2 linked regions of the Coturnix japonica genome follow. The protein of the gene in region 2 interacts with the protein of the main gene of each other region in a biochemical or structural test. Links are inferred from orthologs where the notes say so. Each region holds a gene or a part of one and is shown on either strand. Other genes may lie near its edges.

What was found. The genes of interacting proteins can lie anywhere in the genome.
Region 1: the proteins of ETS2 (region 2) and ZMYND11 form a complex in vitro, tested with the Homo sapiens proteins (2 studies listed by BioGRID). The link is inferred for Coturnix japonica from reciprocal best matches to the Homo sapiens genes ETS2 and ZMYND11.

What each region holds. Positions count from the first base shown.
Region 1 is NC_029517.1:8,890,390-8,895,200, reverse strand, and holds part of ZMYND11 (zinc finger MYND domain-containing protein 11), read right to left. Parts: intron 4,527-4,811; coding exon 4,449-4,526; intron 4,049-4,448; coding exon 3,956-4,048; intron 2,512-3,955; coding exon 2,424-2,511; intron 1,263-2,423; coding exon 1,207-1,262; intron 551-1,206; coding exon 473-550; intron 1-472. UniProt on the Homo sapiens protein: Chromatin reader that specifically recognizes and binds histone H3.3 trimethylated at 'Lys-36' (H3.3K36me3) and regulates RNA polymerase II elongation. Does not bind other histone H3 subtypes (H3.1 or H3.2).
Region 2 is NC_029516.1:97,068,754-97,073,400, reverse strand, and holds the end of ETS2 (protein C-ets-2), read right to left. Parts: intron 4,399-4,647; coding exon 4,280-4,398; intron 3,343-4,279; coding exon 3,127-3,342; 3' UTR 1,620-3,126; downstream 1-1,619. UniProt on the Homo sapiens protein: Transcription factor activating transcription. Binds specifically the DNA GGAA/T core motif (Ets-binding site or EBS) in gene promoters and stimulates transcription.

The sequences.
Region 1 (4,811 bases), on a different chromosome or scaffold from region 2:
GAAGCATGATATTAATTTCTACCGCAAATATTTTACTGTAGTGCTATGCTAGTTTCTTAAGAATACAGTTGCTGTTTATATCTAATGCTTGTTTTCAATTTTATCTTCTTACAATGAATATTTCTCTGTAAGATTTATTGCTTGAATTATCATCAAAAAAAGACCGTTTATTGAAAACATATATCTTGAGCATCCCCCAAATTAAACACATCTTTGTCCCTTTCTAAAGTTTTATTTCTGTAAACTCCTTATTTTCTTGTGAAAGTGCTGTAACCATCTGATAATTGAGTTTATTACACATATTGATACAGCCTTCAACCAACATTTTGCTTGTGTTAAATATCTAGACTTAGGAGAGTTTAATCTTACATCTGAAACACGCTTACTGAAATGGAATATTCAATGCATTAACGAGACCAAACTGCAGGGATTAATACAGAAAAACAAACAAAAATACGTGTCAGCAACATACACAAGGATAGCAGAACCAATTGTCAGGTCGTGCATTTGACAAATAGAAACAGTTCTTGCAAAGCTGCAGTTCATCCAGCTGAAAAACAAAAACAGATATAAATAAACTCCAAAAATCCCATTTGTATGAGCTCAGTAGTGTAAGTGGCAGAGTTTTTCAGCCCTGCTCGCTAAATGGGTGGCACTACTTCGGTGCAACAAGGTATAAAATGAGATGTCTTAAGAGCAGATGAAATACAAGATGCAGCAACATTATTCATACTTTCAAAAAGCATGGGGGGAAGGGCTTAATTGAACACTTAATGATTTATTAAAGCTAAAATGCACGGTTCTTTAAATTCATCAAAATTTAAAGCACATTCTGAAAGAAAAAACTCTACTGAGCAAATGTGACAACCAACTCATCTTTATGTTCCGGTCTCCTATGAATATTGATAAGTGTTTCAACGACAATTACAGAACTTGGTAGGAATCCCATTTTAGACCGAAATTATGCAAGCAAGTACAATCATTTCTAGTCCAATCATGTATTACTACATTATTTCCAAACTAAAACTTAATCATTTTATCCAAATGACAGTCAAGTTGCAAAAGAAAGAAAAAAAAAAAAAGGAAAAGCAATTCTGAAACAGTAGCTAGAACTTCAAGTTTTCATAACAAGAAGAATCATTCTCTTAGATTCTAAAGCAAAAAGCAAATAGCATATCTACATCTTGGTTACTTGGTGCTACTTACTTCATGACACGTGTCTTTGTAAAGCATCCTCGCTATGTCAGCTTGTTCACTGTCCGCTATAAATTAAAAATAAATGCTATGAACAATCACAGTACGATCGCTGTGCTCACGAAGATCTGCAGCTGCTATGACTTTCATGCTGTAATTGTCTTGCTTTAGAATGCAAAACGTAATTCAGCCACTTGGATAACCCTTCCATTTAAAATTTTCTAATGATCAGTTCTATATTTGCTTGCTCTATTGTGTTTATAACGCAAAAACACTGTTGGGAGCTTTTAAACCAAACAATACAAACACAGATCTGAGGAGCAGCAGCAGCAAGACATGGTTGTTCTAAATACAGATCCAGTTTCTTTCTCTGCTATCATCTTAGTAATTGCCCTAAAACATGGTTCTCTGCAGTCACCACTGGAATGAACACAGGTACATCTCATAAGTGTTTTCTGCTTAGAGAATGCTTCAGAAACTGTTTATCATTATGGGTTTTCCCTGACACTTGTATACATCCCTATTAACACTCCCTCTCAGCACTCTCCTTACTAGCAACAGTGTGGGCTGCCTGACACAGTGCATGGCCTGGTCCCAGCCTTCTCCCAGTTCCCCTGAGCTGCCTGTGTGGGACAACCACAAGCCACATCCTTCCTGAAAAGACAGCTCTGGAGAACCCTGTTACTAGACCTGGCTCTGACTTCTAGAAGCGGTGGTGGTGTTTCTCCCTACCATCTATACTGTCACACCTTACTAAATAATCACTAAACACCCTCACAGTGGCTGGCAGCTTTTCTGATGGTACCAGTATTTTTAAGGGGATGTAGATGTATCCGCTGTTGCAATATGGCAGATATTGCCAATGATTTTGCTGACGCAGCACATCAGAAACTGTACCTCTTTCTACTCCAAAGCAACACGCATATTCTGGAAGAAACCTGCAGTATAGATTAACTCGTGGCTTTGCTTGCAGAAGAAACAGGATGGCAAAGTTGCAAATTCCCACTGATAGGCTTAGCAGAGAAGATGAAAATAGGCATGTAGCCAGTGGGCAAGAGCAGACCCTGCCGTCAACCAAGTCCTCTCACAGCTTACTTTGATTTGTAAGGGCTTTCAAATAACTTCATCTAAATGTAAGATTATCAAATACTGAAACCAGTCCTGAACTTTTGAGCCTCCTATTGATGAAGATAAACCAAATAACGTAAGTAGTAAATGTAGCACTTTACCTCCATAGAAAATCACTGTGTTGTGTAGAAGCAGCTGCGCATCTGCTTTGAACTCCTCATAACTCCGGTACTTTCCTTCATTTACTTTCTATACAAAAGAAAACAGGATTGTGAAAAAACTACCAAAGTGCTTTACCTGTTTTATGCAAAAAAAGCCTTCATGGAAATCCACATTATGCAATACAGATCAGACACTGCCCTTCCAGCATACAGAAGTAATACTTACAGCTGTTTGACATGGTTTGTTAGCACCTGAACACTGGCCTCATCGGTTCCTTCATGCAGTGCTCAGTAGTAAAATACTTGCTTTAATGTTAGATTGAGTTAGAAAAAAAAACCAAACCCTCTTTGTTATGACAAAAGCAGTAAGATGTGATCCAAAATGCTTGTTCAAATAAAGGTATATTCCCTGAGGTGAAGATTTTACATCTTAAAATACATGCCAGTTTCAAACCCATGTTGACTGCTTTTATACTTCTAGGATTTTCACTTGACAGCGAGGGTTTTCTGAGGCAGTCACTGCCTTAGTCTTCCAAACTCATAACAAAAGCCCACAGGGAGCCACACAGTTAATTTACCTAGTGAGATCTTTTTTCTAGTAAGGATGCCATCTTTTCTTTTATGCTCTTTGAAGAACTTCTATGAATTCACCAAATAAACTGTCTTCAATTTCAGGCATGTTATCAAGGCCAAAAAGACCCTCTGAGGAAGTGCGCGAAGGTGACACAGTGAAAGGGAAACCTGACCTATTTTCAGTTTTAGGCACTTCAATCCAGCCCATTATGCATGTCCCTAAAACTGTCAGTGTGGCTATTGTTTATCCATGTATTTCAGTAACAAAAATAAAGCAATTTGTTGTTTTTTTTTTACATCTACTTTTGTAAAGAATGATATATGTTAGCATGTTATAGCAATCAAGCTACAACCATAAATAAAATGATATGCTATCCAGTTTGGTCATGTGTAGTTCATTTACATGAGTCACAATCTGACCTTTTCTGAAGAAAAAAAAAAAAAGAACATACTAGAACTTTATTCTTGGAACAATTAATGCAAAACAGATGTTAAGTGAGTCCTGTTTTTCTGTGATCCACAAAATGATGGGTTCTTTATGAATCATTCAGATGTTTCTCAAGTTGATGTCTACACAATGCCTCAGTGGTTAAAAATGTAATATAGTAAAAAACATTGGGCCAGATATGCAAACACAGGCACTAAAGAATAAATTCAATGACCTATATAAAGCATACTTTTTAAAAGAGGATTTCAGCTACCTGCAGCTCCTAGTAAAATCTTAGTATGAAAGGAATTGAGAATACTCAATGTCTGAAAAACAGGCACCATCCAAGACATTTTCACTTGGATACCTATTTATAAGGAAAAGTATGACATTTTAAGCTCCTATATTCAATGCTCAACATAAAGCTGAAATACTCATTAATTAAACAGGATTGTGCTTTAGTTCTTAAGGTTTATCTTCAGTGTTAAAAGACACCTAAACAGTGTGGAAGTTAGAAAGGAAATCACTCTACCTCCTGTATAGTAGGAACATCAACAGCTGAGTGCACCAGCCTCCTATACATTGGGTGTTTGTTGTCCTTCCCTTTCTTGTTTAGATCTATAGCCTGAAAGGACCATGAGACAGTACAAGTTATTGCATTGAGAATCTGCTTAAAGCATATACAAAAGATTAAATAATTGCAACAGCTTGGAATATTTCAGGTGGAGAACAGACAAGGCCCAGCTGCAGATCAGCAGTCTTACACATTAAATGTACTTCAAACCTGAAAAACATCAGTTTCAAAAGAGTGATGGGCCCATTGTATAAACTCTTCCTGCCACAATTCTATTAACCTTAGCTATGAAACATGATAAGTGTATGTTGAAATACACAAACTGCTTATGACAAGGGAAATAAAAAGACACCCTCTTGTAGGCCTTCTTCCAGCGCAGTCACACACACCAGCTGCATTGCATCCCCTACAGCACACAACACTCTGCCACGTGTCCCTGTTTCAGACTCACCCGCTCCTTCATACGAGAGACTATGAACCGCAGGTATGTGCTCATCTCTTGTTTACTCGTGTTTTTCTTCTTGATGCTCTGTCAATGAAAAACGCCATCACGTCATTTTAAACCGGGGCTTCAAAATTCATCCAGCACAAATTTTCTCAGTGTCACAACATCTTTTGAAAAGGTAATTCCAGATTAAACTGGATCGGAAGAATTTTTAGGGGAAAATCTTCTCTGGGAAAGTGGTAACACTAACAGCTCATAACAACCAGACATGTTGCTTTAAATTACGACTGGGCTGAGGACTTCAGCTATACAAAAACTAACAGTTTTATTTCCCCCTATATTCATACTACTTTGCCAGAACTTTTCACA
Region 2 (4,647 bases):
GGTTCCTCCTGCTTGAGGACAGGACAGCAGAGAGAGGTCAAGGGGCCTCCTTATAGCTCAAGCAAGGCAAGAAATTCTTAAGTAGGTGGTAAAAGATGTGGGCAGGGTGTTTCCCCCTGCAGACCAAATGCAGCAACAGGGTGTTAGAGGCACACATGGGGAAGGGACAGGGTTACTTGTCCCATCTCCCACTTGTGGAATACAGTACTGGGCTGAGTGAACCATCATCTGCCCTGTTTCTCTAATGCTCCTATGCTGTACCTGATTGTGGTCAGCAGTTAAGCCTATGAATAGGGCACAGTAGATAGATATTTCTCAAAATAGCCTCCTAGACATCAAGCCCTTGTGTCTTGCAGACTTTCCAACCCAGAGGAGGTATCTTGTTTTTTTTGATTTTTAGAATGAGATTCTATTTTTATTTTTAGTGCATATATAAAAGAGCAAAGAGGGCTTTGAAATCAAACTTTGTTATTGGAGGTGACAGGCCAACTATGGGTAGTTGCCAATTGCAATGCTTTATTTTGGCTGCCGTCACAAGAGGAAAACTGGCAGCTGGAAGGGCAGGGAGGCATATCCTGGAGAAGACGAAGAATTTAGCCAGACTTTCAACAACCTCTTTGACTCTGGGTGGCTGAGAAAACAGAGCAGTGTTTTTCTGTGTGCTCTGACAAAATACTCTTTAATGGGTCACATTGAGCTGCAGCTTGTACCAGTGCACTGACCCAACCCAGTGTGGGATACCAGGTTTTGCTTTTGAAGATACACTAGTGGGGGTTGAATGAGACCATCTGTGGCCAGCACTTAGGTGCAACCTAAGCCTGCAGCAGCGGTTGGGGTGAAGGGAGGAAGGATGCAAGAGGTTCCTTATCCTTCACAGGGATCATAAAAGTAAGACTATTGGCAGTTGCCTGTAAATGTATGGAGACTACAGCTACAGTGCAAATGGAGACCTATCCTTTCAGCTCCAGACACTTAAAAAGGTATACTCTTAAAAAGTCCATTTTCTCCAAGTTGTTAACATGCTGCTACACCAGGGTGATAGTACAGAAAGCAAGATCAAGGTACAGCCACATTTTGATAGAAAGATTAAGAAACCTAGGGAAAGTCCCTTTTTAAAAAGCAATTAACGTTGCGTATTCTAATTTCTTAAATGGATGCTTTAAAGCCTATTGATTTTATTTCCCAGTTCTCTGTAACGTGGAGGGATGGCGAAGAACATGAGATCAAGACAGCTACAACAGTAGGCTCACTGTGTGAGACAGCAGCAGGAACAGGCCAAGCACCAGCAGTCTTCACACACCTGCTCTCCCTTATATTTACTCATAGTTACACATTAATATGCAACACAATTCAGAACCGCCAGTTCTCTTTCAAACACCGAGAACAAAGGCATTAGCTTCTAATTTATACCTAAACAGAGAACACTGGCATAGCTTTTAACTTGGTCCAAGGCCATTAGCCTACAAGAGTCTTATAGGTCTTTCTCTAACAATCTCTTCACTGCCCTATTCTTACTATTTCTCCCCATAGAGATGTAGGCTGGAGGAACTCCTCCTCCCCCCACCCTCCCCTTACACTCTGCAATAACCGAGGTAAAAGAAGCACAATACCTTCTTCTCCCTTGTTCAAGAGGTTTTAATAAGGACTCATTTTTCAACCTCTCACACTTTACAACATTTAAATGTACACCAAGCTCAGGTAAAAAATAAAGCTTTCTTACAAAGTACATTTTTTTTTTTCCCAGTGAATTGTTTGACGGTGTTTTTTTTTTTTTCTTTTCCCTTTCTTTTTGTGCAGTAAAAATAGCTGCTACATAAATCCCTCCTGATCTCTGAAAAGGAGGCACAGTTATTCCAAAAATAGAATTCATATCTTAATCATACAGGATAAACTGCAGGAAGAAGAGACAAGTCAACTGAAAAAATAAGGCTCGTATATAAATTTGTTTTGTTTTTTTTTTTTTAAAAGGACATGCATAGAAGTTGAAAAACATATGCCATTTATAAAGGAAAAACAAAAGTTATTCGTATCCATATTAGTATTTTCATTTTCAGTTAAAGAAGAAACCACAAATAGGCCCTTAATGTCCCGGAATATAATATTAGTTTCTTGTAAAAATGCCAAAATGCACAAAGATTTGCCAGCTTCGGTCTTAACAAAACACTGAGCCAGCTTCCCACTGCGCCCACCCCCCCAATGCCATGTCATCAGCATACCACATGCATGCATACTCAGTACTTATGTTGTCTCTGAGGCCAATTAAATATTTGCAGAAGGTTGTATACCCTACACAAACATGAAATAGCCATTCAATAGGTTTACATTCGTCCCATTTAAAAAAAAAAAAAAAAACAACAAAAAAAACCAACAAAACACATACAATTAGTTTAATTTACACTATACAGTATCTGTTAAATAGGAACATTACGGAGCTTCAAAAAGAATCACAGAATATATACAAAACTGAATATTGAAATGGTATGATTTTCCTTCCTTTCTCACGAGGGGTTTTTCCTTTCTTAAAAGAGATGCTACATCTGGTTTAGGACACAGAGCGTTGATGTACCTATGCAGCACATTTCTGGAGTAATAATAATAATAAAAAACATGCTTGAGAACAAAACATTAATATCAATCCTTCTTACTGCTCCTTTCAAATAAATTAGTTTTTCTTAAATAAATTGCATGATAGAAGAGATGGAAGCAAGGATGACGGTGTGTTAAAAAAAGAATCTGAGCAATTGTTCTGCTCCATCACCGGTTTCCTCATCCAACCTTTGGTTTTAAAGCCAACCCATCATTACATGGCAGTGTAAGTAGCCAAAACATTGTATGCGGCAGAATAGGTGGTCAAAATGCTTAACCCTAAAGCATTTCTGTGTCATCCTGACAGAGCTGTGATCTGTATCAACTTCCATGCTGCTCAAGTACCTGACACAGCAACATTTGAAGCCACTGATGAAATAAGGCCACTTCCTTCCAACTTCCCCTGGTTACAAAATCAGTCAAGGTCCTTATTTCATCACAGTTGAACCCATCCGAACAGCCAGAAGAACTGACTGTAGAAGGCTCCTGGTCACAGTCCCAACAAGTGCTCCTCGCTGGTGCAGCACCAGGTGGTCAGGTTCAGTCCTCAGTGTCAGGCTGCACCCCCAGCATAGCATGCAGCTCCTCTGCTGTGTATCCCAGCAAGTTCTGCAGGTCGCACACAAAGCGATAAACATAGCGCTTCCCTGAGGTCTTGTGGATGATGTTCTTGTCATAATAGTAGCGCAGCCCTCGGCTCAGCTTCTCATAGTTCATTTTTGGCTTGTTTTTCCTCCTTCCCCACCTCCGTGCCACCTGCCAGTGCAAACAGAAAAGCAAGTGTAAAGGGTTTGTTTAAGTCACACTTTTCTGGTCAGCAGCTGATAAAGGCAGCTATTAAAACCCCTTTCGATCAAAAGTTTACTTGTTTGGGTGTCCCAAACTTGGAGCCACATCTTGGTGGCTCAAACCCCAAGACAAGCATGAATTGCAGCTCATTGACAGCAAGCAGAACCAAGTGGTGGTAGCAAATGACAGCAAGAATGCTTCCCTACAGACGATGGGCCCAAGTGTCTTTAAGAGGAACAAGCTGAAGTGAAATACAATCACCTCTCTCAAGCAGGACACAATTAAAGGTTTAATTTGCTATCGAGCAGCAAGGGACAGCTTTTTAAATGGAAGCTTAATTCTAGGAAGTTCCTTGCAGTTCATGACTCCCCTTCCCTTCTTGAAATAAAAGGGGATTCAGCAGACTTTAAATCATGTCTCTTAATACAGTAATCTTCCTACTGGTAGCAACAATCAGGAAATGAAAACATGGTCTCCTTATTTTTCATGTCTGAAGCCATAAGTTCCCAGCAAGTTTAAAAAGCAGCACTAACACATTTGCTGTTTACTAGAAGAGCTGTAATACCGCGAGCGCCTTTTCCCTGGGAATTCATGCAATCCCAGACGTTGCTGATTCAACTGTATTCAGTAAGCTAGCCTACAGTATTGCTTAGCCTGTCAAAACATCTAACTTTGTATGCTTTAAGTTTCAAGCTATGCAATGTGTTCTCATTACTATAAGCAAATGCTGATATCCCAAGGGAGGGGGAGCAACCCACAGCAGTCCTGACCACACTGTAAAGTATTTGCAGATGAAGAGACTTCAGCAAGTGTCTGATCTCACAAATGCTTTATAGTCAAGAGGAGGCCCACAGATAGCAGATGAGACCCTCAATCTTTTTGTACAGCTCAATTAAACACATACCTCATCTGGGTCAGCAAGTTTGAATTCCCATCCATCTCCAGTCCAACTAATAAAGGACTGGCAGGACTTGTCAGTGAGCAGCTCCAGCAGGAATTGCCACAGTTGGATGGGTCCACTGCCTGTTAAGAGAGCAGGGGTGGGGAGGAGCCATAATTAATACTTCTGCAAGCTCATATCACAATCAGTATATGCAACCATATTCAGATCACAAGGTCAATCTGGTCATTACTCTGATTTTTGTTGTTGTTTTTAAATAGAAGGGGGGAAAAAAAGCTTTACTGTAAGATTTTTCCTCTACAAGTCTGTTCCTACATAGGTTAAAATTACAATTTTTCATGGAAAGATTGGATCTGATGCAAGCTACGTCT